Linked DNA regions of Drosophila melanogaster. The protein of the gene in region 1 interacts with the protein of each later gene in a pairwise test. Each region holds a gene or a part of one and is shown on either strand. Other genes may lie near its edges.

The links.
Region 2: the proteins of Tsp96F (region 1) and ng2 interact in a two-hybrid assay, tested with the Drosophila melanogaster proteins (one large-scale study listed by BioGRID).
Region 3: the proteins of Tsp96F (region 1) and jp interact in a two-hybrid assay, tested with the Drosophila melanogaster proteins (one large-scale study listed by BioGRID).
Region 4: the proteins of Tsp96F (region 1) and Tpst interact in a two-hybrid assay, tested with the Drosophila melanogaster proteins (one large-scale study listed by BioGRID).

What each region holds. Positions count from the first base shown.
Region 1 is NT_033777.3:25,878,399-25,883,103, forward strand, and holds the start of Tsp96F (tetraspanin 96F), read right to left. Parts: upstream 3,030-4,705; 5' UTR 2,684-3,029; coding exon 2,618-2,683; intron 1-2,617.
Region 2 is NC_004354.4:3,239,526-3,242,510, forward strand, and holds ng2 (new glue 2), read right to left. Parts: upstream 1,047-2,985; 5' UTR 1,010-1,046; coding exon 671-1,009; 3' UTR 501-670; downstream 1-500. Other genes in the region: ng3 (new glue 3), read right to left, coding at 2,092-2,532; ng1 (new glue 1), read left to right, coding at 2,925-2,985.
Region 3 is NT_033779.5:9,563,745-9,568,647, reverse strand, and holds the start of jp (junctophilin), read left to right. Parts: upstream 1-1,897; 5' UTR 1,898-2,215; intron 2,216-3,209; exon of another isoform or gene 3,210-3,644; intron 3,645-4,903.
Region 4 is NC_004354.4:13,562,013-13,566,878, reverse strand, and holds the start of Tpst (tyrosylprotein sulfotransferase), read right to left. Parts: upstream 3,057-4,866; 5' UTR 2,546-3,056; intron 1-2,545. Other genes in the region: CG32633 (uncharacterized protein), read right to left, coding at 4,063-4,866. UniProt on the Drosophila melanogaster protein: Catalyzes the O-sulfation of tyrosine residues within acidic motifs of polypeptides. Has a role in protein secretion.

The DNA.
Region 1 (4,705 bases):
GAATTTTTACGATTCCCCGAACGTTTTCACACACATATATTTTTACACATCTGACACTATGTCGCGTGTCCAGGACAAACAAACAAAAATCCTGCCGAATGGGCCAATAAATGTACAGAGTCCTTCGTTGACCCAGTTTTCAGAGCCGAGGCGTCGAAAGCGGAAAACGAGAGAGCATTTTACTGCTGCTAAATTGCAAAAAAAAAAATAAAATGGGGCCAAAAGGCAGCTGGGCTTGCATTGCATGTCCAGTCACAGTTTTGTCCCACAATTAACCGCATCGATGGCAAATCGCAGCCAACAGCCATCATGCATCAGCCATAAGCTGAAAATACAAACTGAAAAATGAATGAAGCGCCACTCATGAATAATTGAGTGAAAAATAGCACAGCGAATTAAGTATGTAGATGTGACATGTCACAGCGAATTGAAAATAGATACAGGCCAGCTTCGTTACTTGGAGAAATATTTTTAAATATTATTTTATTCACAGCAAAAGATTACATTTTTTTCAGGAATTTAAGAATTCTGCACTATGGAAGTCTGACTGTGCTGAAATAAATGGTTTTTTTAGTGGGTGGACAGGATAGGATTGTCAGATGGTCGACCGAATATTTGGAAATCTTTCAGTTTTGGTCACTGTCAACTTCAATGACGACAGCGCCGGCCGTTTAGCATTTTAGACGCTTATGGCATAGGCCTCCCCCAGCATCTTGGATGTGGGATATCGGCCCCATTGGAGCGTCAGCGTCCTCAGAGATCGTGGCGTTTGATCACGATGCCCCACGGCGACGATGAAAATGGAAATGTTTGGAAATCGATGCACAGTGGAGAGCGAGATTCAAAACTAATCGGACAGTGGTCATTTTTTGCGAAGTTATATAAAAATACTATTATTAAATTTATTATGGCTTTGTGGGGTAATTGATAACATGCCCTGGCTAAGAATAGCCTCAAAACAATGTATAAAAAGTCTTATATAAAATAATATCTGACGCACTTTCATCCATAAATCGCTCTAAAAATAGTTCAAACGATTAGTGAAACGAACTGCATCACAAACACATCACAATTTCTATCGCTCATTGTTCCTCCACTGAAATCAAACACACCACTGTGCATCCAACAACAACAACGATGAATACTAAAACATCACAGATCAAGGAACATTACACAGAAACCAATTATTGGATATAATCTTATTGGGATCGGTTAATTTTAATTTTTTTTACATGACATATATACAATAAACGAAAAATAATTGAAAGGTATTCGAAAGTTTCCAAACACGAAACTTGGCTAGGCATCAGTATTTTCTTTCTGTGTACAACAACGAAAAACTGAACGGACGCGTAAGTTTGTGTTGTTCCTCGCCCGTATTCGAAAATAGCTTTTGACTAATAAATACTATAGACAGAAATCGAAAAAAGGCAGCAACAATCAACAAACGAACGAAAAAAAAATTAGAAATCAGCCCGCATAAGAATCAAAATTTTAAATTTGTTGCCCAAAGGAAAAGCGAAACTGATTTCGCAAGCCGCGGAAGACAAGAGGAAACCCCAAGAAAAACTCAAGGAAACTCAAAACAAACGCAAACAATCGCTGTGGCAGATAGTAATTGAATGGAAACAATTGAAAGCCTAACGAGGCTATGTTGAAAGTCGAAAATTGCGTAAAACAACAAGCAGATAAGTTGGCCAAAGAAAGTAAAACCCTTTTTTTTGGGGTGAGGAGAGGTCCTTTTTTACCGAATTAAGCCAACCGAAGTTTGTAAAAATATCAACGGCACGTATACGTTATAAAAATAATAAAACAAAAAAAGAGAGACAGGAAGAGACAGAAGCAAAAGAAAAACAACTGAACAAACATGTGGAGGGAAAAGAAAACAGTGGGAGGTGGGAATGGAGATGCTTAAATGTTTATCTGTCTGTGTGTGTGTGTGTCCCCTCCCACAACGGAACTTCTATTGTTTTTATGCGGGAGTACGAGCAGAGCGGTAGGGAGTGCGAGCGGGAGATGGAGAGATACAGTGATGTCGCTTTTAAAAGCCAGTTGAAGTTTTGAAGTTATAAATGGTAGAAAATAATTTAAAGTCAAATAGTTCATAACAAACAAAACCGATTTGTTTAATTTCAAAAAGAAAAACCCTTCTATTAATGTTTTTAATTAACCGCGTACTTGAATATTTATATAATCTTGTCCATTTAATGTTTTTAAGCCCGCTCATTAAAAAAAAAATATTTAAGTTAATATATTATTATATTTATTTTATTATTTATTTATTTATATTTTTTACTTCCTTTTCGATTAAATATTTCAAGCCGTACTTAAATAAGTTTCAACTTATGTTTTGGGCACCTCTGGGATCGAGAGAGTGGAAAGAGGGACTGAAAGAGCGGTAGGACTCCAAAGAGCGTGCGCACGGCTCCTCCCTCCGCCCGCGCGCCAAGCGTGAGAAAGAGGGGCGTAGGGAATACACAACACACACACATTCGCTCACGCAACACCCACACACACGCGCGCGAAAAGGAGGTCCGTGTGTTCCAGTTGTTGTTGTGATGGGAGAGAACCGAATCTCGCATTGTTGTTGTTGCTGCTGCTGCTGGAATCTACATACCCAGAATAAAATGTTTATAAGGACCATCAGATATTTGACGCACGAACAGCAGCCGTTGAGACCCATGGCGCGGATTGATATTCTTAAATAGGTAACTCCTTAAAAAGTAGCTGCAATTTAACTGGTTTTTCAACCACTTGGAGATGCTCTTTTTCCAAGGAACCCCGAACTGCAGTGTCGCCTGCACTTTTCGACCTTTTGCACTTTTTCAAAACACCCGCTCGATTGTACTATATTTTTCAAATTTTTTTAAAATTTCCCGTGCTAAAATCCACCGATTTGAGCCACTGTTTGCGCGATTGGCCGTTGCACCCGATTTGTTTTAAAAATTTTATTTGTGCATCGAGGCGTCCGTCCAACGTAAAATTCTTGTATCAGTGCGACCATTAGCTCGGCCGTTCAAATATACCAGCGGGTATAGAAAGGCTAAAAACCGAAAAGTGGTGACCCTTAGAAGATACCAAAGAAGTGGTTGAATAACTTTGATGAGGCTTAGCATGGCTTGCAACCTGCTTGGATTTGCAGCCTATACGCAAACCAAAGTGGCCTATCGATATTTTGGATAAGTTCTATTGCCAATTTTCCCAATAAAATAAAAACTTCACTTGAATGTTAAAAGTAATTTAGTTTCAGTGTTTACATAATGTTCAAATAACCTTTTGATTGTTATTATGAAAGTTAAAAATTAAAAATTTAGATATTCTAACTAACTATTATCCCCAATGTTTCAGCTATAATCACCATATTTAAAGTAGATTTCATTTTAAAGTATAAATTTGTGGTTGTTTACATTATTTTAACATGTCTATTTAATTATTACTATGAAAGTGGGTAATTGAAAATTAGGATATTCCAGGTTTTTGATTTACTTTGGCTATGATTTTCCCAAAATATTTAAATCTGTAAATGTAAACAGTTTGAAATGTGACCTTAATAGTTCATGCTTTGTTCATTCTTCTGCGAAACGGTCACACTGTTCGCGCAGGCGAAAATGGCCTAAAGCGTGAAATGTTTAATTCGTTGTTGTTTCTCCTCCGCAATAGTTACTAATAGAAACAAATGCAAAATGGCTGTCTAACGTTTAAGTGCAGCGACCGCCGAAGATCGTGGAAATATGCATGAAAAGCGGCTCGCAGGCAAATGAAAGGCGCGTGAAAATGTAGCAGACACCTTTTTATCGCGAAAACGAACATCGGTGCAAAGGGAAAAACAAAAACCAAGGAAAATACAGCCAAACGCGAATGTGAATGTGAAGGCAAAGTAAGCGAAAAGTCCCCCAACTTTTTTGGGGAGTATCGAGTGCACCACATACGTTTTTCAATATATATTTCGATTGCATTGAAATCAGAAACATGACAATTTCCCCCCTTCCCTTATTGCTGTTGTTGTTGTTGTCGGCTTGTTGCAAGTTTGTGTGAGTGTGTCTTGTAATTTTGTTACGCAGTGGAGCGAAGTTGGAGTTTTGTGGAATGGAAATGGAATGAAGTGGAACGAAGTGGAGTGTAACCAAACACGAAATGGAAAAACGAGGAAAAAACCTTAAAGCGCAGCCTAAGCTTTAGTCGTACTGAAAATTTCTCAAGCGCTGCAAGCCAGTCTTTGCCAAAGTAAAGCCCCTACCTCCCCCCCCCTCTTTTTGCATAATAAACGAAAAACGTTGCGCCCACTTTACGCACTTGTTTTTATGCTTTCCGCGTTCAGTGCACTTAAAAACTTAATTGGTTCCCCCGTCGGCGGTGCTAATGTAGCGCATTTCACTGTTTTCAACGTAAATATAATTATATTAGCAAACGTTTACAAGCAAGATTGGATTAGTAATATGTAGTAGCTTGCTAGAAATCCTAATAAAAATGTGAATAATAATATATACGGTTTCATTTAATATTTTGAAAAGTTTTAATAGAAAAAAGTACAGCTTTTCTAAAAGCTACCCTTATATTGTGTTTCTTTCTCACGAAATAAACTACTGTGTAGAAGGTAGCGGTAAATATTTATGTTTAAAGTCCACTCTCTTCTATGTTAGAGGTATACCCCTCGCCCCTTGGCCACTGCGAATGCTGTATCTTCGCCAATTTCACTTTCACATTC
Region 2 (2,985 bases), on another chromosome or scaffold:
TATATATATATGTGTGTGAGTGTGCGGTATCTATGGCAACAGCTTTTCGAATTTCCCCATTCGCTTTTTTGGGCTGAAAAGTTTTTGCTTACGAGTATTTTGCCGCTTGCACAAATTTTCCTTTTGGGGCTTTTGCGGGTTTCCTCGAGTTCGGTTTTGTGCTAATGGATTTCAATGGAAACGCAACTTTTGAGGCCCAGAAAAGCCTTGACGAATAAATGTTTAATGCTCGTCTGCATTTTAATCAACTTATTAAAAAGGATTTCAGATTTCGCATTCACATTCAGATGATCATGAATAAAATATTTGTTCTGAAAATTAATATAAAATGATTAGCTAAATCACTATAGATGTTAAAAAAAATATACAAGAACTTACACATTTATGCGCATCATATATTTATTTATAAAGTAAAGGCATTTCAAATGTTTAAACAATTGTGCAAAACAACTAGTTGCTAAATTTTGTTTGGCCAATAACTGAATAAATAACATTTGACTGACATGTCACAAAATATGTATATTTTTTTATGATTTCTTAATTGACTTGTAAAAGAATTATTGTAGTGTTAGTTAAGCTTATGGACTAAGAAATAAAAAAAAAAGAAAACAATTGGTTCCTGGGGTTCAGCATTGAGAGTGGCGTGGATTTTCTATTGGTCCTGGATCTCTTATTCTTCCGATCTGCGGTTTCTACTGCTGCGACCATTGCGGCTCCTGAGACCCCTTCTCCTTGTGATTTTCCTGACCTTCTTTGGCCTCTTGACCTTTCGCTTATAGTGAGTGACAGTCTTCTTTTTTGAGCTCGAGGAAGGTGAGGCTGTTGTTGTGGTGGCCGAAGCGGAAGTGGTGGTGGTGGCCGAAGCGGAAGTAGTGGTGGTCGCCGAAGCGGAAGTAGTGGTAGTGGCCGAGGCGGAGGTGGACGTGGTGGTTGTGGACGCCTCCGACTCGTGGATCATCACACAGCCGAGGAAGGTGGCGAGAAGTACGAGTACCACGGTGATCTTCATGGTGAGCAAATGCTACAATAGATGCCTTGCTACTGATGCTGTCTTGAAGAACGAAAGCCAGCTTTTATAGTAGTCTTCTCTACTGGGTTTATCCTCTTCGGCCAAACTGTGTCAGCCAAAGAAAAGATGTTATTTTTGGCCAAACAAAAATTCGCTATTTTTCGTATTGGCACAATTGTTTAAACAGATAAAATTTGCACATGTACAAGAGGCATGATAATCTATTTTTGTATGGAGCTTGTCATTTTGCGAAAATTTATTAACTGTTATTATAAAAATCACTTAAGCCACTAATGCCAACGGAAGTCTAGTTTTGTCAACCGTTACTTGGTTTTTAAATAAATGCAAATGACTTAGGTTAAATCTATATACGATAAACGCATTGTAAAAACTGCAGAAAAATTCAACTTTATATACTATACTATATATATAGATTCTTTACTATATATATACTATATACTATACTATATTCAACTATATATTCTGCCACTTAAATAATTTCCCCTAAAAAGTATACTACGGCTTTTAAAACACGGAACACATCAGCTTTAAACTTATTCTCTTAAGCAAATAATGGAAAAATATTAACCAATTAAAATGATTTTGCCATAAATTGTTTACTTTCATTTGTAGCTTGTCTGAATTATAGACAAACAAACACATTGTGTACGTAGCTTAGGAAAGCGCTATTATTAACTATATTAAATAACGTCTGGGGTAGATAATAATACTTAAGATTATAATATATAGCATTTATTGTAGGAGTATGCCCTTTATATTTTTTCTGAAAGTAACTATTTGATCAAAATTTCAATGGTTAATTATACGTTGTAACGAACTTGACATACACTTTAAACAACAAGTGATGCTTCTTATCTCGATCTGTTTTGTAAAGTAAATGCATAAGTAAAAGCATAAGTAAATGCTTTAAGCGGCATTGATAAGCAGAATGAACTAATATCGAAATATTCATTTTATTTGCCTTAAGTGTTTTGAACGGAAAAAAGAAAACCAAAAAGAAAAACTACATTTTCAAAGGCGTCACGATCAGATCAGTTGGTTTGTTGTACAAGATGTGGTCACTAAGACAGGCGTCGGGCACTTCGGGCTCTCCTGCGGCGGATGCGACTGTTACCACTGCGGCTACTGGTGCTGCCACTGCTGCTACTGCTGCTACTGCTGCGGCGACGACGACGGCTGCGTGTGCTGGTGCGATCGGTAGAGCTTTCGTCGTCGTCGGCCTTGTGCCTATAGATATGTCGTATCCGCTTTGGCCTATAAACATGACGTGTATAGTGATACGTCCTCTTCTTCTTTTTACTCTTTGAGGAGGAGGACGAAGTGGTTGTGGTAGCCGCTGTGGTAGTAGTTGTATCCGACGCAGTGGTTGTCGTGGCCGAGGCGGAAGTGGTGGTGGTAGCCGAAGCAGAAGTTGAGGTTGTGGTGGCCGTGGAGCCACCTGTCTGTGGGATTAGCAGACAGGCAACGGTGGCCAGAAGTAAAAGAACACAGGAGTAGCGCATGTTGGATGGCCAGTGGCTGGACAACTGATGTCTGCAGCCAGAGGCCGTGGTCTTTTATACTAATTACCACAGTTAAGCAATTACGTAACAAAATCTTTCATATCTTTTGCGTAGCGAATATAAATTGGACATACATAATTGGGCATTTCTTAAAAGTTATATTATATATTTGCACTTAACTTACTTGACTGTTTGAACAATTGGGCACAATGAACAATTGACAAACTTGCGGGTTTTTTGTTCTGCAAAAACGCTCCCTTTGTTTTGGCCAAAACTGTTGACAAAAATTTGCAAAAGAGGATAAACCCAGTTGAGAAGACTACTATAAAAGCTGGCTTTCGTTCTTCAAGACAGCATCAGTAGCAAGGCATCTATTGTAGCATTTGCTCACCATGAAGATCACCGTGGTACTCGTACTTCTCGCCACCTTCCTCGGCTGTGTGATGATCCACG
Region 3 (4,903 bases), on another chromosome or scaffold:
AAGTACCAATTAAACACGTATTCCCTCAGTGTATCAACCAGTATCTATCGGCTACGTAGAACACTGAAGCAACAGCAACAACATGACACGAGTGGACGGCGAGCAAACAGAGAACAACGCACACTCTCCGCCGCACACACACAGATACTAACACGGACACACACCAATGCGCCAATACAAACACACACAGCTGGCTGCTCAACAGCAGGGAACTTTTTATTGTTGTTGCTGGCAACGAACAACAAATAAGACAAACAATGCACACGCACACGAATGACGAGTGTTTTCGAGTCGGAGAAACGGCAACTGCGCGGTACGAAATGCAAAGATACAGATACAATGAGTTGGTTGTCGGTTGTGGAGGGTAGGAAAGGGACACAGGCCAACAAAAATAGTTGCACTGCATCAAGAGTGTTGCCTGTCGTTAGAGGCTAGTCACCCACCCCGAAAGGATCTCTCAAAGGATCAGCGGACTACTAGGTAATCCTGATCGAAATCGATTGATTCAAATGGATTTTCAAAAGATATATCATGTTCAAGATCTTTTTGTTGGGCAATACAATTTTTACATATGTATGTTGATTGTTATGTTGAATATAACTTCAGGCTTATTATTACTGTCTAATGGTAATGTTTCTATTTATTTCCACGTCCATTAACATGTATAATTGGTTTTCCCCAAAATATGTTAGTGAACAGGTGACAGTCGCAAATAGAAAATACACATTTTTTACGCTGTAACTCTGACAAAAAAAATAAAACACAGGAACCCAAATAGTTTACCTGAAAACTTACCTGCGAATTTCCAGTGATCATAATTCCATTGTGCGCTTCTTCTTCTTCTTTGCTCTAACTCTCAGGGAACATTGAAACAACAACAGTTGCTTACTCAGCACCGCACACAAACATAAACTGCGCTCTCACGGACACTACAACAGCTGTCGCTCTCAGAACCAACAACAAAGCGAGCAAACAAAAATCATGTTGTTGTTGCTCACAAAGCTTTGCAATTTCTCTGCCGCTAACATCGCTGCTTTTGTGTAGTTGTTGCTGCCGCCCGAGTTGCCAACAAGCTTTCCAACAACATTTGTTTACATTTCAAATTTATTAGGCGAGCTTTTCGGACATTTGAACAAGCTTCGTGGGCTACTCGCTAGGTGGCGCATGCTACTTCCGGTATAGATTTGAACAGCTATTTTTTTTAATTTACTTCAGAAATAAAATAAGCATTTATGCATATTTAAATATAAATAGATAAATATACCTGTTTCAGTTTCGTTAGAATGCACAATTTACTCTTGACTAAATGACTTCCGAGCAAACAAAATATTTAAACAATATTGTTAATAAAAAATAAGAAATGATTACTTAAGCTCTTACGTTTCCCTCCAACGGTCATTTGATATGTCATTATCCAAACACTCATATTGTTATTCACACGCGAAAAGCTCGACAAAGCTCAAAAGGACTCACTCCTTAGGCCAAAACTGTCAGGGTTTATGTATTCCGCCTGACAGCAGACCACCAACCCAGTTATTTCCAGCACTTTAACGATTTGTTTACAACTTTGTTGCCCTGCAATTTACCGCTAGCATACGGACCTGCCAGCCAGCCCAGCTTTTCACCCCTTTCCGACCGCTTGGAAAAGCTTTTCTCGGCGGGCAGGATGTCTTGTCCTGCGTGTGCTCAAAAATTCAATAAAAAGGAGGCTCGTTTCTGTTGTGGCCTACATGCCACAGCAAGGACGAGCAATCGGTTACCGAGCCGAACGCGGCCCGAGGAAAACTTGGTCACCGGGTGGGTAATGGGAAATGGAAAAGGGCCGAAAATGGGGGCGGGTGGCGAAGCAAGGAGCAAGGAGAGAGCTTCCAAGTGCAGCGGAGCTCAGTTGCCATAGGACAGTCGAGGCGAGTGCTCGTCCTTGGTCGCAACGGGCTCCCGGAAAAGCGGTCCATCGGCTGTCGAGTGTCATTGTTTTGGTTACGCGACTGCCCCGCTAGTGTTGGTGACCATCTGTGTGCGCTTAAAAATATATTCGACATGAATTATTTACGCAAAACGAGTGCTGGAAAGTTTTGAAAAGTGCGGAGAACGAGTGCGGAGTTGAGTAAGCGGAAAGTTTTGACTCGAAGAACACTTTGTCTGACAATTTGCAGCGGCATCAAGGATGCAGTCTCCTTTGCACTGGGATGAAGAATGCATTTTCCGAAGCGCAGTATGTGACTCTTTCTCTTTTCAGTGAAAAACCCCCCTCCATTTTCGCGCTCTGTCGCTCTCTCTCTCTCTCCCGCTCGCTTCCTATTGTTTTTCTCAGAGTGTAGAGTTTCGATTTCGTTAGAAAATCGAAACAAAAGCGAACCAGGCTCTCGAGGAATTGTGGGAGTCGTTGCTGCGGCTACCTGTAGATGCCACATAAACACACACAGATACGAGCGCAAGGATGCGAGTGTGTGCGAGTCCTTGAACGAGGCTTTCGGTTGCCCACCCACATGCCACATCCGTATCCGTATCCATGTCCATGGCTGCCTTTCACTGCCCGCTTCCGACTCTAATTAACTTATGATTCAAGGTCCAATACGCTGCCACTGAAGGTTAAACATGACGACCCAGCGATTTTCGGTGGGGGTTTTTTCGTAAGAAACTTTTAAACAGCCCGCTGGCAGCTGTAATTGAGCGAATTCCGCGGAAGCTGCACTAAACTTTTACCAAGAATCGGCAGGAGTCAAGTTTTTGCCGCGACCTAACTCGAAAGTCGTGTAATGCGATAAAGTGGAAACTTAACCAGGGATCATCTAGTAGTTAAGCGCACACAAGTCGTAATTTTATTTGGCTGCCAGGACCCCAGAGACTCGTCGGCAATTAAGGCTGGCCAAACAATAAGCCACTGGGCGAAAACCCAAAAGGAACAAAAAAACAATTAACGTTCTAGAGTGGAAAACCCGCATTACGCATACGCCACGTCGGCAGTCTGGCAACTTTGAGGTGCGACCTCCGGGGGCTGTGGAAAAGTAGCGGGGGCGCCGGAAAAGCTCTTTCCCGCTGACCACCGGCGGTGCCATCATACTCTCTCACCTCCCCGAGAAAAATCCCGCCCCAAAAAATGCAGCAGAGAGCGGTTTCTTGCCGCTTTTTTTTTTTGTTTTTTGGCTGCTCCGCCGAAAAACATTTTCATTTCTCGCCTGAGCAGAAATTTCAATGATTTCCCTAGCTCAGTGTGAAACGAACCAACAACTCAAACGAAACGAACGCAAACGCGCGCGCGAGAAAAACAAACTAGAATAGAATAGAAGAAATTAACCTCTCCGCCGAAAAGGGAAAACCCCCAAAAAATATATAAAATAACACACGAAACGCTGAGGTCGGGGGCCCTAACCCAATGCTAACTGTAAACAATAATCGAACAAACGAATTTTTAAATTAACAGCGAATGAGTAATACCTGAGCGATTTATTAATCAGAAGCCGTGCGAGCAACAAAGAATCCACAAGTAGCTGGCCCACGGATAGATAAATAACTGCACAGATAATTGCTGGTACACGGTACTGGGCTCTATAAATAGCATCGAAATAATCGCGGAGACAATTGCAGGGCACTGGTGCAAAGTGAATGCGACTGAGTGCTGCCGGGCGGAACGCCGAGGATCTGTGAGTAGATAGAATAATATCCCCCAAAACCGCCGCATCCCGATCGCCTGGCTGCGAAATCGAAATAACAAACTTCAGTCACCTTGCGTTCTGCGTCACACACTCGGATACTTTGGGGAATGGGAGTCGTGTGGCATGGGTGTTTGCCTTCTCCATCCTCGCAACTACAGTAGAGCTTCCATGGCTTCAGCTGCACCTATTTCAAATGTCTGAGCCTATTTTGTATTGTAATTTAACTACACATGCTATTTATTTTCTGATCTTCCTGGTCAAATATGATATATTAATTAGTTTTTTAATTATCAATTCAAATTTTTATAGAGGTCATTAAATCTTCTAGTTCTCAGCACTTCTTCAATGGGATATTTATTTATATTTATTTAGCATAAAAGCTTTAAAGTGTACACTCAGTGTGAAGCTTCACTGTATTTGCCATTTGCCGTGTTGTTACTGCTGGTACTGGTACCACACGGCGTATGGGTGATGGCGAGCGGGCCAGCGGTTGGATGAGTGGTGCACACTTTTTATAGCCAGCAACAGTCACACAAGCCGCACAATCAAGCGCTCGTCTCGGTGTTTATGTCAATTTGAATTTTGCATGCGGCCAACAAACTTGAATGTGTCCTTTATGTTGGTGTTGTTGCTTGCGTTCTGAAATGTATCGGTAGGAAAAGGAGGTGTGGAAATGGGGGGGGGGTCGGTTTGGGGATACCGGAAGCTAACTAGAACTGCGCTTCATTGCAACTTTGTGTGCGACCTTTTGGTTTTGGAATGTGTGGGCAGTGGGCGGGGCACTTGTCGGGCGGAAACGGATATCCCGTGTGCTCTTTGCCTAGTTCGCCATCGCCGCCAAGCGCGTCTCCTGTTTGTCATTTCATCAACCTTCTTCTGGCTCCTAGCAGCTCCTCCTTCTGGTGTCCTTGCACATTTGCTGCGCAGGAAATTTTAAATCGAGTATGTGCCCACGGGTTGTCTGGTTGCATTTTGCTGTTTTTGCGGCTTTCTTGTTTGCTCTGCTTTCTGGGTGAGTCCTGATTTTTTTTCGGATTTCCCATCCTGTTGGCCACTGGGTCAGATTTGTTAGTTCACAAAGTTCACAACAGACGCAATAAAAGGAATTTTTAAAGCCACATTAAGATGGAACTGAAACTTTAAAGATTTTTCAAAAATTGTTTAAAAGTATAATTTTTCCGCATTTTTAAATGCTCGATATTTTTTGCAGTGTGTCGCGTTGGGTCGAAATGTATCTTCTACACGGC
Region 4 (4,866 bases), on another chromosome or scaffold:
GACGAATAATGATTTTACGCCGCTCCAAAGAATTACGAACGATGGTAATGGCGATGGTAATGGTGATGGTATATATGACTCTATCCTATGGCTCGGTATCTGAACGGATTTGCTGAACTTTGCTGTTACGGAGGAGGAGGAGGAGGAGGAGGAGGAGGGTTTCTTCTCTTTAAGAATTGAATCTGGCGAAAAGTGTGCAAATTGTGCGCGAGTTTCTGTGCCCGAGCGGATAAATTTGAATTCTGCATTTAGTTGGCTTATTGAGTTTGCATCCGTATATCTGTCGTGCTCGCTGGCAGCTCCTTTTAAGCCAACTATTCCAATGACTAATTTCATTTGGCTGCAGTTTGCCCGAAAGCCAAAGAGGCGTCATGCGAAGACAGCAAAAGGGGGTGGGGGAATACACAGGGAATATTTGCTTACTATTCAGATATTTATTAGATTAGTCTTCGATTTGTTGTCAGGTTATAGATACATCTTTATTAAAAAGAATGCTAAAAGATAGATAGAATATTTAATTCTTTTATGTTTCGATTTAAGCCAAATCTTTTATGGACTTATTCTGTTAAATATCTATAAGATAGTTCAGAAATAAAACTAGAAGCTGAACATTGATTTCCTGCAGAATATGACTTTATTTAGTTCAGTTATATGTAAAACTGCTTAGATCCATGCATTTGAAATTAAATAACTTCTTGCAAAGTCGCGCATAAACGTTTCTTTATTTTCAGGCCTTATTGTCTTAGTGTCTTATAAATGGCTAATTTCTTGAGTTTTTTTTTCTGTGTGTAGATGTAATATGGGCACTTGGGCAGCAGCACTTTTGGGCCACTTGTTTCTCGAAATTGAAAACCATGAGGCGCATTTAAAAAGATGAAGTGACAACTGGCATACTGATGACGACACACAGGAGAAGGGCTTGGGGGGTGCACGGGTAGGGGGAAGGGTGAGGGGAGGAGCTGTAAGTGTGTGTGTGGAGCGTATAAATATAACAAGTGCCAAGTGAAATATGTACATAAATAAGCCAGCGCAGAGATACTATGCGACGTAGACACAGATACAGTGCTCACTGGCCCTAAAAGATACATTTTGAAATAGTATCTGTTATGTTTGTGAAAGTCAACTGAGTGCATTTTCTATTAGTTAAGATGTTTTTAGTGGTTCTCATAAGAACTTTTGAAGGATTATAAAAAGTCCATTGAATTGCACCTTTTTTGCAACTTTAAATGGTTTTCTAGATTTCAAAATACATCTTTTCAACGAATTTGTTCTCCTGTTTTTTTTTAATGTTTTTCTTATTGGTTCTTCACTGTACCGCTTTTGTCTATTATCGCCGTTTTATGTGTCTGTTTCTACCGCTGCATTTGTGCATTTTTGCATTTCTGCCCTCTTCCAGCAGCTGCGACTAATTGTTGAAAGAAAAAAATGTATTAAACGAAAAAACAAAAAACAAGAGGAATGGAAAAAATGTTGGCGGATAAAAAAAAGGACTAGGGGACAAAAGGAGGCAGGATGCAAAGGACTTGTTCGCGCTGCTGACTGCGAAAAGTGCAACAAACTTTGACAAAATAAAACGAAAATTCCGCCCAAAGGTACAAACGGGGCGTGGCAATGGGGGCGGCGAACCGATGAAGCGCCCCTTCTTGCAACTTCAAATCGCAAGCACACACACAACCACACACACAACCACACACACACAGACAGTCAGCCGCAGCTGGAGATTCTCACACACATGTGAAAAAATCGCGAGTTGCATGAAAAAAAAGAAACTGCATTGAAATTGAAGCACTCTCATTAGGAGGAAGAAGCAGAAGAAGTTGCAGCAGGAACCAGAAGAAGAAGAAGAAGAGGACGCAGAAGAAGAAGGTGATGAAGACCAGGAGACGAGAAAGCGCAAAAAGTGGTAACCGCAGCAAAAATAATTCCCATTTTTCGAAAGCGATGGCAAAAGCAAAGATAACAGCTTAACTGTTGATGGAAAATGCATTAAAATAAGTACATAAGCTGCATACAAATTTCAGGCACTAAACTGAATAAATATTAATGGGATTTCAAAATGTTGAACAAATATTACGGGTAAATCATAATAATAATATATTCACTGGCAGCTTTTTGTTGTTCACGCTTAAATGTGCAAGCTGTAGTGTTAATAAAAACGTTACTTAAACTTAAACATAAACTTAAACTACAATATGATTAACATTGCTTTCCAGTTCGAAAACGTAACAAGCTGCAATATCTCAATATTTTACGAAAGGGCCACGTAGGTGACGAAAAAAGTACAAAGTTGAAAATCAAATTGAATGACACGAAACAACTCATCAAAAACTTTTAAGATAAGCCTCTTACTAGTTCAATCTAGATTTTTACTTGCAACAGCGGCTAAAATATCAATAAATTAACTGATTAGGCAAAACATATATAGAACGAGGAATTTATATTAGTTAAAAGGTAAATAGTAAACCAATTTAGGGACGAATGCAACAAAGTAAACAGCGCAGATAAATAATGCTTCAGAATGTAATTGGCTAAGCGGCATATTTACCTGATTTGTTGTTGTTTTGGCGGCAGGTTTCCCATTAAACATTGTAAAGCAACAACAACAACAATAACAGCTGTCTCTCTTTCTCTCCCGCTTTCGCACTCCTGTTGTTATTGCTGTCTCGTTCTGGCAAGGAGTTTCGGTGCTGTTGTTGTTGCTGCCGCTAACTATTGTTGCTTGCACTTGTTGTATTTTTGTCACACAAACAAACAAACACGCACACACGCTCGCACACAATGTTGCACGTTGCGTGTGCCCTGCTGCTGCTGCTTCTTCTTCTTTCGTTACTTGCCGCGCCGCACGCTCTTCCTCTTACACTTCCCAAAGCCCCTTACCAATTGACCAATGGCATCGGAATCGGAATCGTAAACAAATGCAGCGCGCTCGCACTCTTCGTCACTCGAATGCTTTCGTCACGTCACCGTGTTCTCGCTTCTTTTTGCAGCAAATATGCACTCGATTCGCACTTTTCGCGACGACAACCGATTTTGGAGCTGTTTGGGGGCAGAGTGTGACCGTCGGGCGCAGCGGGCTGCACGTCGACTGCGGCGTCGCTGAAATTACCTAAAATATCTGTATGGCGCAATGGTGTGGCGTGGTGTTTGGTTACTACGCTGGAACGGTCACACTGGAAAAGAAAGCTCAATGCATTTAGCCAAGACAGGAACCAGTCGAAAGCTTAAATCGCCAGCTGTCGGCGGTTAGGCAAACTGCTACGGCTCGACTTTCTCCAGCTCGTCATAGGTGGCGCCACGGTTAGTGCAGATAATCATCTCATAGGTGGCGCCAATGATAGTGTTAAGATTAAGGCCTTTTAGCAACTTTCCTATAAAATAAATTGCGAAAAAAAGTATTTCCATGGGAAACTTTGTGCTGTCAAATAAGTGCTTAAAACATGTATTGATTACAACGTGTGCACATTAATAAGCTATGAAATAAAACGCTACGCCCGCCACTAATGAATTGACTTTAACTTTATGAAACGTTTTAATAAACTTTTCAATATACAAAGAAAGTTACAAAGAGTTTCGATACCTATAACTTTTTACCTCGGCAGACGAAAGGTCGAGTTATAAAGCATCGAGTGCATATATGTACACATTCTGATAACTGCGATATCTGTCTGAGTTTTACGATGCAGTGTTTGTTAAGTCAGTGGGCGAAGGCAAATGGTTAATTATGTTACAAGTTGACGCAAATTTATGGCCAACTAATCAATTGATTGTTGCTAATTGATAACCGATGTGATAACATAAGGCCCGCATATAGAAGAAATTCCTCACATCCGCAATACCTCGAAATTTCTATGACAACCACTTTGAACTATTATCACCAAAACTCTATGAAAGGGGTACTTTTTTTTTAGAATTACTGGGTGCATTACCATAAATTTTATCAGTTACGTTGCTCGATGTCGATCGAATTAAACTTAAATTTATACTTTAATCTGTATACTTCTGTTGTGTGTGTAAAAAATAGATTTATTAAAAAAAAAATGGAATAAAGGCAAAGCTGTCCGTCTAGATCCTCACCAGAACCTCGTAATTCTCCAGACGCACCTCCTCGCCACCGAATGGGATGTAGATGCAGCCGTGCGAGGGATGGATCTTGCCCACACTCAAGCTGTCGCAGTAGATGGCCCTGCCGACGTAGAGGGGCTCCCCGTCGACATTCGGACCGGAGGACAGGGCTCCGGGAGCCACATTTCCGTGCGAGGCCGGAACCCAACGGAATCCGGATCCCGTCAGCACCTGGACGTCGGTGAGCTCGTGCTCCGCCTGGGCATAGGCGGCATAGGCTTTCCCCTTCGCCGGCACCACTTTGGCTGGCAGCAGATCACCATTGCGGAACACCCTGCCCACGTAGATGGTGTCCCCGTTGGAATCGTGCCCAGCAACCAGAGCTCCATCCGGAATATTTGTTGCGGTGGTGTCGATCCAACGTTCCGGCTGGCACAGCACCTCGTAGGCAAAGATCTTAACCTCATCGGAATCGTAGGGAATATACAGGCAGCCGTGGGATGGATGCACCTTGCCCATGGTTAAGCTGCCGGCATGATAACCCCTGCCCGCATACAAATACTCGCCGTCCACATTCCGACCAACTTTGACGGCGCCCGGCGGCACCTCCCCGTTCTCCGCCGACAGCCACTCGTAGTTGTAGCCGGAAAGCACCTCGTAGTTCTCCAGCTCGTGCTCCTCGCGCGCATACGCCACGTAGGCCTTGCCCTTGTTGGGAATCACCTTCGCCGGCAGCATGTCGTTGGAGAAGAAGGCACGGCCCACGTAGATGGTGTCCCCGTCCGAATCGTGACCAGCCACCAC